4 linked regions of the Saccharomyces cerevisiae S288C genome follow. The gene in region 1 interacts genetically with each later gene. Each region holds a gene or a part of one and is shown in the gene's direction. Other genes may lie near its edges.

What was found.
Region 2: mutations in MAS2 (region 1) and ERG8 together harm fitness more than expected from each alone (negative genetic interaction), as found in Saccharomyces cerevisiae (one large-scale study listed by BioGRID).
Region 3: mutations in MAS2 (region 1) and FMP32 together harm fitness more than expected from each alone (negative genetic interaction), as found in Saccharomyces cerevisiae (one large-scale study listed by BioGRID).
Region 4: mutations in MAS2 (region 1) and ALG2 together harm fitness more than expected from each alone (negative genetic interaction), as found in Saccharomyces cerevisiae (one large-scale study listed by BioGRID).

The regions. Positions count from the first base shown.
Region 1 is NC_001140.6:157,172-161,112, reverse strand, and holds MAS2 (mitochondrial-processing protease subunit alpha), read left to right. Parts: upstream 1-1,920; coding exon 1,921-3,369; downstream 3,370-3,941. Other genes in the region: VMA16 (H(+)-transporting V0 sector ATPase subunit c''), read right to left, coding at 1-269; THR1 (homoserine kinase), read right to left, coding at 602-1,675; MYO1 (myosin 1), read right to left, coding at 3,661-3,941.
Region 2 is NC_001145.3:710,322-714,182, forward strand, and holds ERG8 (phosphomevalonate kinase), read left to right. Parts: upstream 1-1,994; coding exon 1,995-3,350; downstream 3,351-3,861. Other genes in the region: ESC1 (Esc1p), read left to right, coding at 1-1,788; FMP42 (Fmp42p), read right to left, coding at 3,610-3,861.
Region 3 is NC_001138.5:41,149-43,984, forward strand, and holds FMP32 (Fmp32p), read left to right. Parts: upstream 1-1,666; coding exon 1,667-2,290; downstream 2,291-2,836. Other genes in the region: GTPase-activating protein RGD2, read left to right, coding at 1-1,417; phosphomannomutase SEC53, read right to left, coding at 2,480-2,836.
Region 4 is NC_001139.9:379,257-382,994, reverse strand, and holds ALG2 (GDP-Man:Man(1)GlcNAc(2)-PP-dolichol alpha-1,3-mannosyltransferase), read left to right. Parts: upstream 1-1,723; coding exon 1,724-3,235; downstream 3,236-3,738. Other genes in the region: MRH4 (ATP-dependent RNA helicase), read left to right, coding at 1-1,472; deubiquitination module subunit SGF73, read right to left, coding at 3,413-3,738. UniProt on the Saccharomyces cerevisiae protein: Mannosylates Man(2)GlcNAc(2)-dolichol diphosphate and Man(1)GlcNAc(2)-dolichol diphosphate to form Man(3)GlcNAc(2)-dolichol diphosphate.

The DNA.
Region 1 (3,941 bases):
CCGGCACCAATCATGGATGAACCAGTAATGAAAATACCCCATGCTGCCCCCACGACACTTAAGCCTACACAAAGGGCAATACCAAGATTGGCCCACATATAAGGGGATGTCCTTAACAAGAACTTCCCGAAATTAATGTCGGATCCATGTCCAGTGAAAAGCTTGTACAAACCGTACACTATTACTACTATTAGCACCAAGTAATATAGGAAGTGGGAGAAGGAAAACTTCCCCAAGGACATATCATCATCTTTAGATTCCTTGTTCATTATCTTACACGCTCTAGCTCCTGTATTTTATTCGCCTTCCGGTGAGAAAAAAAACACCTGTGGATATTACGTTGAATGATACTTGTGGCTAAATCAATCAACTGGCCTTGGCTATGAGTCTTTTGAATTGAGACTGAAAACAACTTCGATTCATTATCTGTATTGTTAATGGTTGTGAAATTTCGTTCTTTTCACTTATTTTTTATTTTCGAAATAGATAGAAAAGACGGGTAACGGAAGAAGACTCAGCATAATAACCGTTAACGGTCAATTACAGTATGTATATGGTCTACAATAGTATTTAACACAGTATACTAGGGGTAAAGGACATTTCATTGCTGTTCGACGCTAGCACCATCGTAGGCAGGCTCCAGTAGTTTCCAGGAGCACTTGATGCCGTTTTTGGCGAACCTGTTGATAATTTCTTGAGAGATTTCTTCGAAATTCTCAGTGGCCAAAGCCAAGATAGTTGGGCCTGCACCTGACAAGCAGATACCCAATAGGCCAGGGTATGTGGATGGGGTGACACATGATAAGATTTCCGTGAGACCTGGGATCAATGTCTTTCTATAAGGTTGGTGGACACGATCTTGCATAGCAGGGTAGATTAAGTCGGCATTAGGTGGGTCCATGGTCAAAGCTGTGGTCAAGACGGCCAATCTTTGTAGATTGAAAACCAAGTCCTGGGTTGGGTAGGCTTTTGGAAGAACGCCTCTGGAGTCGGCGGTGGACAACTCGAACTGTGGGATGATCGCAATACATTTAATGGCGGGGTTCCATTGGTATTTGACATGTCTACCGATATCGGTGGGAGGTAATGGGGGAACCAGACCGGTATCTTCACCACCAGAAGGTTCTGGAAGCACCTCAGCCAATGGAATCTCACGTCTTTCCACCTCTTGTGGGGTCAAGTCCCTTAGGAATGAACCGCAAAAGCCTCCCATCATAGCAGCGGTTATGTTGTCTGGATGACGTTCAATCATCAAACAGTAGTCCAACATACGTTGCTTAGAGAAACCCAATTGGGCCACTTCGTTACCTAAAATAACACCTGCCACAACTGCTGCACCAGAGGAACCCAATCCACGGCCAAGTGGGATTGGGTTGGAGACGTGAACTTTGGTTCCGGAGGGGAAGTTTCTAATATTGTTGCAACGCAACACATATAACGCAGTCCTGGTAATCAGGTTAGCATCAGAACGCAATGGGACCGTAGAATAGCCTTCACTTTCTTTAGTGTAAGACAGCTTGCAGTTGTTGGGATCGTCGTTTGTTTCCTGAGCTTGGCTGGAGTCGATGGTGACATCTAACTCCAAGAATAGAGAAAGACCGACACCAAGAACATCATAACCAGGGCCGATATTGGCGGAAGAAGCTGGAACTTTAATTTTGAAGGCACGAACCATTTTCTGTAGTCCGTATATCTACTTTATGCTACTGTTATAACCATTAGGCAGGTTAGAAGTACACTTGTTTTTATCACCATATCTTTTCGAGATGATGACTCTTGCACAAATTTTTCATCCGGCGTGAGGGCGTATCGAGAATGAACAATTCAGGTGAAAAAGCCTACACAGGTGGACTAGAAGAAAGGTGTTTCAGGGCAGGTGGTCAAATTAATGCAAAGCAGAGAGCTGATTAATAACAAAAGATGCTAAGGAACGGCGTTCAGAGGTTGTACTCTAACATCGCTAGAACCGATAATTTTAAGCTTTCGTCACTAGCGAATGGACTGAAAGTGGCGACATCAAATACTCCTGGACACTTTAGTGCCTTAGGCCTATACATCGACGCAGGATCACGGTTTGAAGGTAGGAATTTGAAGGGTTGTACACATATCTTGGATAGACTAGCATTCAAATCAACCGAACACGTCGAGGGCCGAGCAATGGCAGAGACGTTGGAGTTACTGGGTGGGAATTACCAGTGTACCTCGTCTAGAGAAAATTTGATGTATCAGGCTTCTGTGTTCAACCAGGATGTGGGTAAAATGCTTCAATTAATGTCAGAAACTGTGAGGTTCCCTAAGATTACTGAGCAAGAACTGCAAGAACAGAAGCTGTCGGCAGAGTATGAAATCGATGAAGTTTGGATGAAGCCAGAATTGGTATTACCTGAGCTGTTGCACACAGCAGCATACTCCGGAGAAACTTTGGGGTCCCCTTTAATCTGCCCTAGAGAGCTCATTCCTTCTATTTCTAAATACTACTTATTGGACTACAGAAATAAATTCTACACCCCAGAAAATACTGTTGCGGCATTTGTTGGTGTTCCTCACGAAAAGGCATTAGAGCTTACAGAAAAGTATCTCGGTGACTGGCAATCTACACACCCTCCGATCACCAAAAAAGTTGCCCAATATACGGGCGGGGAAAGTTGTATTCCACCAGCACCAGTGTTTGGGAATTTACCAGAATTATTCCACATCCAGATCGGATTTGAAGGTCTCCCTATAGATCATCCAGACATTTATGCTTTAGCAACATTACAAACTTTACTTGGAGGTGGTGGTTCTTTCAGTGCTGGTGGGCCAGGAAAGGGGATGTATTCTCGTTTGTATACCCACGTTTTGAACCAGTATTACTTTGTTGAAAATTGTGTTGCGTTCAACCATTCTTATTCGGATTCTGGTATTTTCGGTATTTCATTATCTTGTATACCGCAGGCAGCTCCTCAAGCGGTTGAGGTAATTGCACAGCAAATGTATAATACATTTGCTAATAAGGATTTGAGGTTAACTGAAGACGAAGTCTCCAGGGCCAAGAATCAGTTGAAGTCTTCACTACTAATGAACCTAGAGTCTAAACTGGTAGAATTGGAAGATATGGGCAGACAAGTTCTCATGCATGGTCGCAAAATCCCAGTCAACGAAATGATAAGTAAGATCGAAGATTTGAAGCCAGATGATATCTCACGTGTTGCCGAAATGATATTTACGGGAAATGTAAATAATGCTGGCAATGGTAAGGGTAGAGCTACTGTTGTAATGCAAGGAGACAGAGGATCCTTTGGAGATGTGGAAAATGTACTGAAGGCATATGGATTGGGTAACAGCTCCTCCTCCAAAAACGATAGTCCCAAGAAGAAGGGTTGGTTTTGAACAACTTTAGCAGTACTTTATTACTTTTATTTTGGAGATTTCAAGATAGGAAAAAGACTTTATTTCCGCTGCTTATCTATTGAATCGGTTATTTTCTTTATTTTATGTACCACCTTTAAGACTACTATCGAAGGATACGGGGTGAAAGAGTTCATGCCACTTAGTATATAACGCTCGTGTCGTCTTTTTCTGTTAATAATGCATATTCTCATTCTGTATATACAAAACATCTCATCATTATTTTTTTAAATAAAGGATATAAAGTCTTCCAAATTTTTAAAAAAAAGTTCGTTAACTGAAAATTTTACTCTGTGCATTGTTACTATCAATATTTTTCGAGCCTATCATGGTAGATTCATAACGGCTTTTCCAGAATTCAATTTCTTGGGCCATTTCCTGCACTTTGTCGCGGTAAGAAGAATTATCTCTAATGGATTTTTTCATCTCAAGCTCTTGTTGAGAAATGTACTTTTCTAAGTCAGAGATTTGAGCCTCATATTTCAAAGTAGCTTCCTCAAATTCGCTTCTATTTTTATTCGCTAGTTCTATTACATCTGTTTGTTGGGAGTTCT
Region 2 (3,861 bases), on another chromosome or scaffold:
AACGAAGTGCTCTTTGAAAGAAGAGCAACTACCATTGAAAACACAAAAGCCCTGGAAAATAATACCAATATGCATGATCAGGTTAGCCAAGCTTGCTCTGATTCAGACCGAGACCAAGACTCCACAGCTGAAAAAAATGTTGAGGGATCTGCAAAACATAATTTGGACATTCGGGTGTCCAGTTCGGAAATTGAGTCTGTGGAACCATTGAAGCCAGAATCTGATCGATCAAATATTTTTTCATCCCCAATTCGTGTTATTGGAGCTGTAGTTAAGGGAGTGGGTAAGGTAGTCGACGTAGCTGAATCATTCGTGAAAAAAATTGATGTTATGGATTCTGAGAGTGATGATAACGTTGATATTGGTGATTATAATCAAGACATTTTTAACAAGTCGAATTCTACCGATGCATCTGTTAATATGAAAAGTGTAAGTAGCAAAGAGAGAGACAGCGATGAAGATGAAGCTGTCATACTCGGAGGAGTTACCGCAGAAGCACATAATGACAATGGTAATAATTCTCGTGTGATAAACATCGATCCCACGACAAACGGTGCTTATGAAGAGGACTCCGAAGTGTTTCGACAGCAAGTAAAGGACAAGGAAAATTTGCATAAGTCGGAAGAGCCGCTAGTTGAAGGTTTACAATCCGAGCAACATTTCGAAAAGAAAGACCACAGCGAGAATGAAGAAGAATTTGATACCATATATGGAGATATAACATCAGCAAATATTCACAGTAATGCCCCCGATGATATTAAGAGACAACAACTCCTAAAGAATCTAAGTGACCTAGAGAATTATTCTCAGAGGCTCATTGAAGATTCCAGGAGAGGAAAAAATCAAGAAGAATCAGACGAAGTTAATACAAGCCGTGAACGGGATCTCACGTTTGAAAAGTCCGTTAATGAGAAATATGCTGGAGCAATTGAAGAAGACACTTTTTCGGAGTTAGATATTAGCATTCAACACCCCGAACATGAAGAAGACCTGGACCTATCAAACAATCAGGAGAGGTCAATAGAAGAACTAAATTCAGAGCCAGAAGAAGCTGAGTTGTACGAATTGGAAATAGAGGGCCCTACAGAGACAGCAGCTTCTAGTAAAATGAATGATGATGAAAGGCAACGCGGAAATATACCGTCCACAGATCTTCCATCTGATCCTCCGTCTGATAAGGAAGAAGTGACAGATTCTTATCCCTATTCAAATTCGGAAAATATTACCGCTGAAAAGAGTGCGCCAACATCACCGGAAGTGTATGAAATATTCTCAGACACGCCAAATGAAGTCCCTATGGAAATTAATGATGAAATTCCCGCCACCACGCTTGAGAAACACGATAAAACCAATGTAACATCCGTTTTGGATGATAGATCAGAACATTTATCTAGCCACGATGTTGATAATGAGCCACACGATAATTCCATTAACATCAAAGTAAATGAAGGTGAGGAGCCCGAACATCAAGCAGTGGATATACCTGTTAAAGTAGAAGTTAAAGAAGAACAGGAGGAAATGCCTTCAAAATCTGTACTTGAAGAACAGAAACCAAGTATGGAACTAATCAATGATAAAAGTTCTCCAGAAAATAATAATGATGAGGAAACAAACCGCGAAAAGGACAAAACTAAAGCAAAAAAGAAAAGCCGTAAAAGAAACTACAACAGCAGAAGACGGAAAAGAAAAATCACAGAAGGCAGTTCTGCCGCATCAAATACTAAAAGGCGTAGGGGGCACGAGCCAAAAAGCCGTGGACAGAATACGCATCCAAGTGTTGACAAATAATCAAATTGTATACAGGAATATGTAGATAGTAATAATTATTGCGATGCGTTTTTCTATACGAGATCTAAAAGGAAAAAAGTTCGGTTTTAAGGCGGAGTTAACGTCATGTCGAATGGAAAGAAAGATTATATAAAGAATGGAAAAACAAAAAAGGTGAAAAAACATCTTGGAAGGCCTCATAATAAATCAATCGGCTGCCTCGAGAAATGTCAGAGTTGAGAGCCTTCAGTGCCCCAGGGAAAGCGTTACTAGCTGGTGGATATTTAGTTTTAGATACAAAATATGAAGCATTTGTAGTCGGATTATCGGCAAGAATGCATGCTGTAGCCCATCCTTACGGTTCATTGCAAGGGTCTGATAAGTTTGAAGTGCGTGTGAAAAGTAAACAATTTAAAGATGGGGAGTGGCTGTACCATATAAGTCCTAAAAGTGGCTTCATTCCTGTTTCGATAGGCGGATCTAAGAACCCTTTCATTGAAAAAGTTATCGCTAACGTATTTAGCTACTTTAAACCTAACATGGACGACTACTGCAATAGAAACTTGTTCGTTATTGATATTTTCTCTGATGATGCCTACCATTCTCAGGAGGATAGCGTTACCGAACATCGTGGCAACAGAAGATTGAGTTTTCATTCGCACAGAATTGAAGAAGTTCCCAAAACAGGGCTGGGCTCCTCGGCAGGTTTAGTCACAGTTTTAACTACAGCTTTGGCCTCCTTTTTTGTATCGGACCTGGAAAATAATGTAGACAAATATAGAGAAGTTATTCATAATTTAGCACAAGTTGCTCATTGTCAAGCTCAGGGTAAAATTGGAAGCGGGTTTGATGTAGCGGCGGCAGCATATGGATCTATCAGATATAGAAGATTCCCACCCGCATTAATCTCTAATTTGCCAGATATTGGAAGTGCTACTTACGGCAGTAAACTGGCGCATTTGGTTGATGAAGAAGACTGGAATATTACGATTAAAAGTAACCATTTACCTTCGGGATTAACTTTATGGATGGGCGATATTAAGAATGGTTCAGAAACAGTAAAACTGGTCCAGAAGGTAAAAAATTGGTATGATTCGCATATGCCAGAAAGCTTGAAAATATATACAGAACTCGATCATGCAAATTCTAGATTTATGGATGGACTATCTAAACTAGATCGCTTACACGAGACTCATGACGATTACAGCGATCAGATATTTGAGTCTCTTGAGAGGAATGACTGTACCTGTCAAAAGTATCCTGAAATCACAGAAGTTAGAGATGCAGTTGCCACAATTAGACGTTCCTTTAGAAAAATAACTAAAGAATCTGGTGCCGATATCGAACCTCCCGTACAAACTAGCTTATTGGATGATTGCCAGACCTTAAAAGGAGTTCTTACTTGCTTAATACCTGGTGCTGGTGGTTATGACGCCATTGCAGTGATTACTAAGCAAGATGTTGATCTTAGGGCTCAAACCGCTAATGACAAAAGATTTTCTAAGGTTCAATGGCTGGATGTAACTCAGGCTGACTGGGGTGTTAGGAAAGAAAAAGATCCGGAAACTTATCTTGATAAATAACTTAAGGTAGATAATAGTGGTCCATGTGACATCTTTATAAATGTGAAGTTTGAAGTGACAGCGCTTAACATCTAACCATTCATCTTCCGATAGTACTTGAAATTGTTCCTTTCGGCGGCATGATAAAATTCTTTTAATGGGTACAAGCTATACATACTAGGATGAGGATGGTACTGAGAACGATAAATAAACTTTCTAGATATATAACTTTATGTCATTTAAATATAAATAAAGTGCGTGTTAGCTTGAAAGTGTGCACTCAGATAGTTTGGTAGTTGGAGGACAATCCTCTTTCATTCACGGGCTTGGGCAAAATCTGAGATCGTATGTAAAATGTTAAAGTTAGTGAAAAAACGACTGTGAGGATTACCAGTGTAAGGTTTATTGGGAATGGATTCATGTTGAAAGTAGTATGTGTCCATTTGTCCAGTAAGTTTTGACTCATGTTGAAAATACCACAAATGCAGGACAATAACCCATAAACAGTACCAAATGTGTCAAATCCAAAAAC
Region 3 (2,836 bases), on another chromosome or scaffold:
TCTGCTTGACCACATGTCGTTAAAGGATATTGATCAAGCTGAAACGTTTGGCCAAGATTTGTTGAATTTAGGGTTTTTGAAATATTGCAACGGTGTTGGTAATACATTTGTCAACTCTAAAAAATTTCAATACCAATGGAAGAATACCGCGTACATGTTTGCCAATGTGCCAATGCCCGGTTCAGAGGAGCCTACCACTGGTGAATCCTTAATATCCCGGTTCAACAACTGGGATGGTTCATCTGCAAAGGAAATTATTCAATCCAAGATTGGTAACGACCAGGGGGCAGCGAAGATCCAAGCTCCGCATATATCCGATAATGAAAGGACGCTTTTCAGAATGATGGATGCGCTTGCAGCGTCAGATAAGAAGTATTACCAGGAGTGCTTCAAGATGGATGCCTTGAGATGCTCGGTTGAGGAGTTGTTGATTGACCATTTGTCGTTTATGGAAAAATGTGAGTCCGATAGACTGAATGCGATCAAGAAAGCGACACTAGATTTTTGTTCTACCTTGGGTAACAAGATTTCTTCGTTAAGACTGTGCATAGATAAAATGCTCACGCTAGAAAACGATATTGATCCCACTGCAGACCTTTTGCAACTTTTAGTTAAGTACAAGACGGGCAGTTTCAAGCCGCAAGCCATTGTTTATAATAATTACTACAATCCTGGTTCATTTCAAAACTTTGGTGTTGATCTAGAAACTCGTTGTAGACTAGACAAGAAAGTCGTTCCGTTGATAATTTCTTCGATATTCTCATATATGGACAAAATATATCCTGACTTACCTAATGATAAAGTAAGAACTTCAATTTGGACTGATTCGGTGAAATTAAGTTTAACACATCAGCTTCGAAACCTATTGAACAAACAACAGTTCCACAACGAAGGGGAAATATTTGATATACTTTCTACGTCCAAGTTGGAGCCAAGCACCATCGCCAGTGTTGTTAAAATTTATTTATTAGAATTACCAGACCCACTAATTCCCAATGATGTCTCTGATATTCTTCGGGTGCTTTACCTTGACTATCCACCTTTAGTTGAAACTGCGTTGCAAAATTCTACATCATCTCCCGAGAATCAGCAGGACGATGACAACGAAGAAGGCTTTGATACCAAGAGAATAAGAGGCCTTTATACTACTCTGTCCTCTCTAAGCAAACCACACATAGCGACACTAGACGCTATTACAACTCATTTTTACAGATTAATTAAAATTCTGAAAATGGGAGAGAACGGTAATGAAGTAGCAGATGAGTTTACCGTCTCAATTTCACAAGAATTTGCCAATTGTATTATCCAGTCAAAGATCACCGATGATAATGAAATTGGTTTTAAGATTTTCTATGATCTACTGACACATAAGAAACAGATTTTTCACGAATTGAAAAGGCAAAATTCAAAAAATTAGGACTAGGCGATATAGATTTGTATATAATTTTATATAAAAGGAAATATGTACATCATTTTCTTTCACTGTAGGCAGCTGTTTCAAGTTCTTTTTTTATTGGAGATATAATTATTTACATTATTGTTATAGAGGACACACGAAAAAGCAAGAAGGGAACTATAAGAAAAATAAAAAATAATGAAGAATACAGATCTGTAATTAGTCATTTCAAGTGAGCGTAATAAGTAAAGTAAGGTAGAACGGAATAAAATGCTCAAGCGTATTGTTGGATTGCCTGCAAGGCGTTGCTTTCATAGAACGTCCTTTTTGCTGGGCAGTGACTTTGAAACTGTGCATATTCCCAATACGAACCACTTTAAAGATTTACTTATAGAGAACGGTAAATTTCAAGAGGATCAAGCAACTACAATAGTAGAGATAATGACAGATGCAATTAGGGGCGGGGTTAATCATGTTTCACAGGATCTGGCAAAGAGAGAAAAATTGACCCAACTTAGCTATCAACAACGTGTTGATTTTGCAAAGTTAAGAGATCAGCTATTGAGTGCTGATAGAAGTGAATTTCACAATATTCAAAACGAGTACGAAAGTGTGAAAAACGATCTGGAGAAACTAAGAAACAAACTAAGGGAAGAAATTACCAAAACAAACGCCGGTTTCAAACTTGATCTGTCCTTAGAAAAAGGCAGAATTAGGGAAGAAAGTAGTCATCACGATCTGCAAATAAAAGAAATCGACACCAAAATTGAGCAAGAAGTGACCAATATGAAGATGCAGATTGATTCTGTCAAGACTCAAGTCATGCAATGGCTGATAGGTGTCTGTACAGGTACATTTGCACTTGTATTAGCATATATGAGGTTATTAACATAGTGGCGACAAGCGAGGAAAAAGGGCTAGACTTGGTACTTGAAAATTGCATTTACGTTTTGTATAACACAGTTCAGTAAGAGTACACATTCAATAACGTAGTAAGAGTATATTTATTTATATAAGAAGGATAAAAAAGAATCACCAAACGGATCACAAATGGCATAATCACGTAGCAACCTGGAAATAAAGCTATAAGTTGAATAGTTCAGTCAAAATTTTGACGGTGTCATCAGGGGATTGTACTGAATGTCCGATGGTTCTTTCATCGACAAAAATTTCGTAATCGTTACCACCGACCATAGTCTTGTCACCAAAGAAATGAATTTCCTTGAAACCATCTTTTTCAACGTGTTGCAAACAGTAGGTCTTATCCCAACCAGCGGGGAAAACGTCGAAAGAGATTTGGCCACCAATGGAGAAAGTCAAACCGTAGTCTGGGAATTCCTTTTTCAAAGCTTCAACGAACTTGGCTCTGATTTGGTGTTCCTTATCGTATCTTTCGAATTCGTTTCTTTCCTCAGTAGAAGCATTTCTACCAATTGGGGA
Region 4 (3,738 bases), on another chromosome or scaffold:
ACTTTGGAGAGTATGGTGGATTGAAAAAAGACGTCGAGATGAATATGGACAGTACGAATAAACTCATTCAAAAAATATCGAATTTCGACCAATTGCTTATACTTCCACCTGTCAGAGACGCTGTGAAAGAAATCATTTCCAAAGAGTCCCTGAAGCTACAAGATAGTAGGAAAAAAACCAGTGAAAATATAATACCGAGTCCCATTCAAACAGTGGCCATTAAGAGAATATCCAAAAATTTAATGGATCCAAAGTTACAAATACATGCGATTGCCGCTGAGACAGGTTCAGGTAAGACCATGGCCTACTTGATACCTTTAATAGACTATTTGAAAAGACAGGAGTTGGAAACTCCCGAATTATGGGAAACATTAAGAAAAAACGTTCTGATTCGGTCCATCATACTGGTGCCTACGCATGAATTGGTTGACCAAGTATACGAAACTGTTTCCAAGACGAAAACCTTGTTAGGCTTAAACTCTTTCAAGTGGGACAAGGCCACATCATATCGTGATTTATTAGAGAACATTAAAAATAGAATAGATATTTTAGTCACTACTCCGGGAAAACTACTGAACCTGTTCTCCATAAGAATGATAACTAGACCTGATAAAGTCTTGTCCAAAGTGGGTTTCGTAGTACTAGATGAAGCTGACACACTTCTAGATAGGTCATGGCTTGAAGAAACGCACTCCGCAATAAAGAGAATTCCTAACATTAATCACCTTATTTTCTGTTCCGCTACTATTCCTCAAGAGTTTAATAAAACAATGCAAAGACTATTTCCTACAGTGGTTCCTATAATGACACCCAGACTGCATAAGTTACCATTCGCTTTGGACTTTAAAGTTATAAATTCTGCCTTAAGTCCTTTCAAGGGATCCAAGATCAAAGCATTGGCACAAACTTTATATGCTATTTCAAATGATGACACGGAACCAGGGTTCGAGAAAAGATGCATTATCTTTGTTAACGAAAAAAAGAATGTTCCTGAAATTGTTAACCTATTGAATAAGAAATTCGGTCATAATGCCATCGGTTTAACTGGTGAAGATACATTTGAAGAAAGATCCGAGAAAATTATGCCCTTTTTATCACCACCGCGACCACTTTCGGAGGTGGTTGCTCAGAGTACTTCACCTCCCACTTCCTTGAAGAAATTTGAAATTCCTGATTCCAACATCGTCATCGGCAAATTGAAAAACACAAATTCTAATGGTACCGCACCCAGTAACAAGTCTTTGCATGTACTCGTAACCACCGACCTCATGGCAAGAGGGCTCAATTTCAAAGGTGTACGGAATGTTGTTCTCTACGATGTACCCAAAACGTCAATAGACCTGATACACCGAGTGGGCAGAACTGCTAGAATGAAACAGGGCGGCCGCGTATTTATGCTAACTGACAGTAAAACAAAATCTTGGGCTAAAGCTCTTCCAAAGATCATCAAAAAGCACCAGAGATTATCATGATAAATGTATATTCTTGTAAATATTATAACATATATACGAAAGGGTCACAATCACAGATACAATTTATAGATCGAGAGCCTTGCGTATAGCTTCTTTTTTTATAAACAAGTGCCTGGCTAGATGAACGCGCGAACAACAAAATAAATGATGTATTCATTTTAACATCAAAAGATTACGTTCGCCATTTAAGAAGTCACGAAATAGATACAGTAGTAAAGACAGATAAAAAAGAGTCGATTAGACAAGCAAAAATGATTGAAAAGGATAAAAGAACGATTGCTTTTATTCATCCAGACCTAGGTATTGGGGGCGCTGAAAGGTTAGTCGTCGATGCAGCATTAGGTCTACAGCAACAAGGACATAGTGTAATCATCTATACTAGTCACTGTGATAAATCACATTGTTTCGAAGAAGTTAAAAACGGCCAATTAAAAGTCGAAGTTTATGGTGATTTTTTACCGACAAACTTTTTGGGTCGTTTTTTTATTGTTTTCGCAACAATTAGACAGCTTTATTTAGTTATTCAATTGATCCTACAGAAAAAAGTGAATGCGTACCAATTAATTATCATTGATCAACTGTCTACATGTATTCCGCTTCTGCATATCTTTAGTTCTGCCACTTTGATGTTTTATTGTCATTTCCCCGACCAATTATTGGCTCAAAGAGCTGGGCTATTGAAGAAAATATACAGACTACCATTTGACTTAATAGAACAGTTTTCCGTGAGTGCTGCCGATACTGTTGTGGTAAATTCAAATTTCACTAAGAATACGTTCCACCAAACGTTCAAGTATTTATCCAATGATCCAGACGTCATTTATCCATGCGTGGATTTATCAACAATCGAAATTGAAGATATTGACAAGAAATTTTTCAAAACAGTGTTTAACGAAGGCGATAGATTTTACCTAAGTATAAATCGTTTTGAGAAAAAAAAGGATGTTGCGCTGGCTATAAAGGCTTTTGCGTTATCTGAAGATCAAATCAATGACAACGTTAAGTTAGTTATTTGCGGTGGTTATGACGAGAGGGTTGCAGAAAATGTGGAGTACTTGAAGGAACTACAGTCTCTGGCCGATGAATACGAATTATCCCATACAACCATATACTACCAAGAAATAAAGCGCGTCTCCGATTTAGAGTCATTCAAAACCAATAATAGTAAAATTATATTTTTAACTTCCATTTCATCATCTCTGAAAGAATTACTGCTCGAAAGAACCGAAATGTTATTGTATACACCAGCATATGAGCACTTTGGTATTGTTCCTTTAGAAGCCATGAAATTAGGTAAGCCTGTACTAGCAGTAAACAATGGAGGTCCTTTGGAGACTATCAAATCTTACGTTGCTGGTGAAAATGAAAGTTCTGCCACTGGGTGGCTAAAACCTGCCGTCCCTATTCAATGGGCTACTGCAATTGATGAAAGCAGAAAGATCTTGCAGAACGGTTCTGTGAACTTTGAGAGGAATGGCCCGCTAAGAGTCAAGAAATACTTTTCTAGGGAAGCAATGACTCAGTCATTTGAAGAAAACGTCGAGAAAGTCATATGGAAAGAAAAAAAGTATTATCCTTGGGAAATATTCGGTATTTCATTCTCTAATTTTATTTTGCATATGGCATTTATAAAAATTCTACCCAATAATCCATGGCCCTTCCTATTTATGGCCACTTTTATGGTATTATATTTTAAGAACTACTTATGGGGAATTTACTGGGCATTTGTATTCGCTCTCTCCTACCCTTATGAAGAAATATAATGTCTACTTAAATAAATAATGTATACCCCCCGAAGAAAAAATAATTTACATTGGAGAAGAAATCTCTAAATGCAAATAGCGTAACTTGTCCACAAACATAGACGTGTACATGTTACTTCGGCGAATAATTTTTTATTACTCACTTCGTGAACATGCTGGATAACGTGCATGATTCAATTAATTTATTCTGCCATTGTAGGGGTTCACAGAATTTCCAATACCTACTTCAATTCTCCCGTTATTGCCAGAGACATTAATACCGGTAGATACACCTTGCCCGGAGCCATTGACGCTGTTGACACTAGGGGGAGATTGGATACTATTTACGCTAGTATTGGGAGAGCTTATGGAGGCTTTCATCGTCATGAGGTTATTGTTACCGTTTTTACTACTATTATTGTTGTGGGTGCCAGATAAATGGCTATCTTGATTTGATTCTTGCATTAATTTGGTAGCGTTGGCTAAATATGAAGCAGCAGCTTCAAACTTCTGTTGTTGTAGTT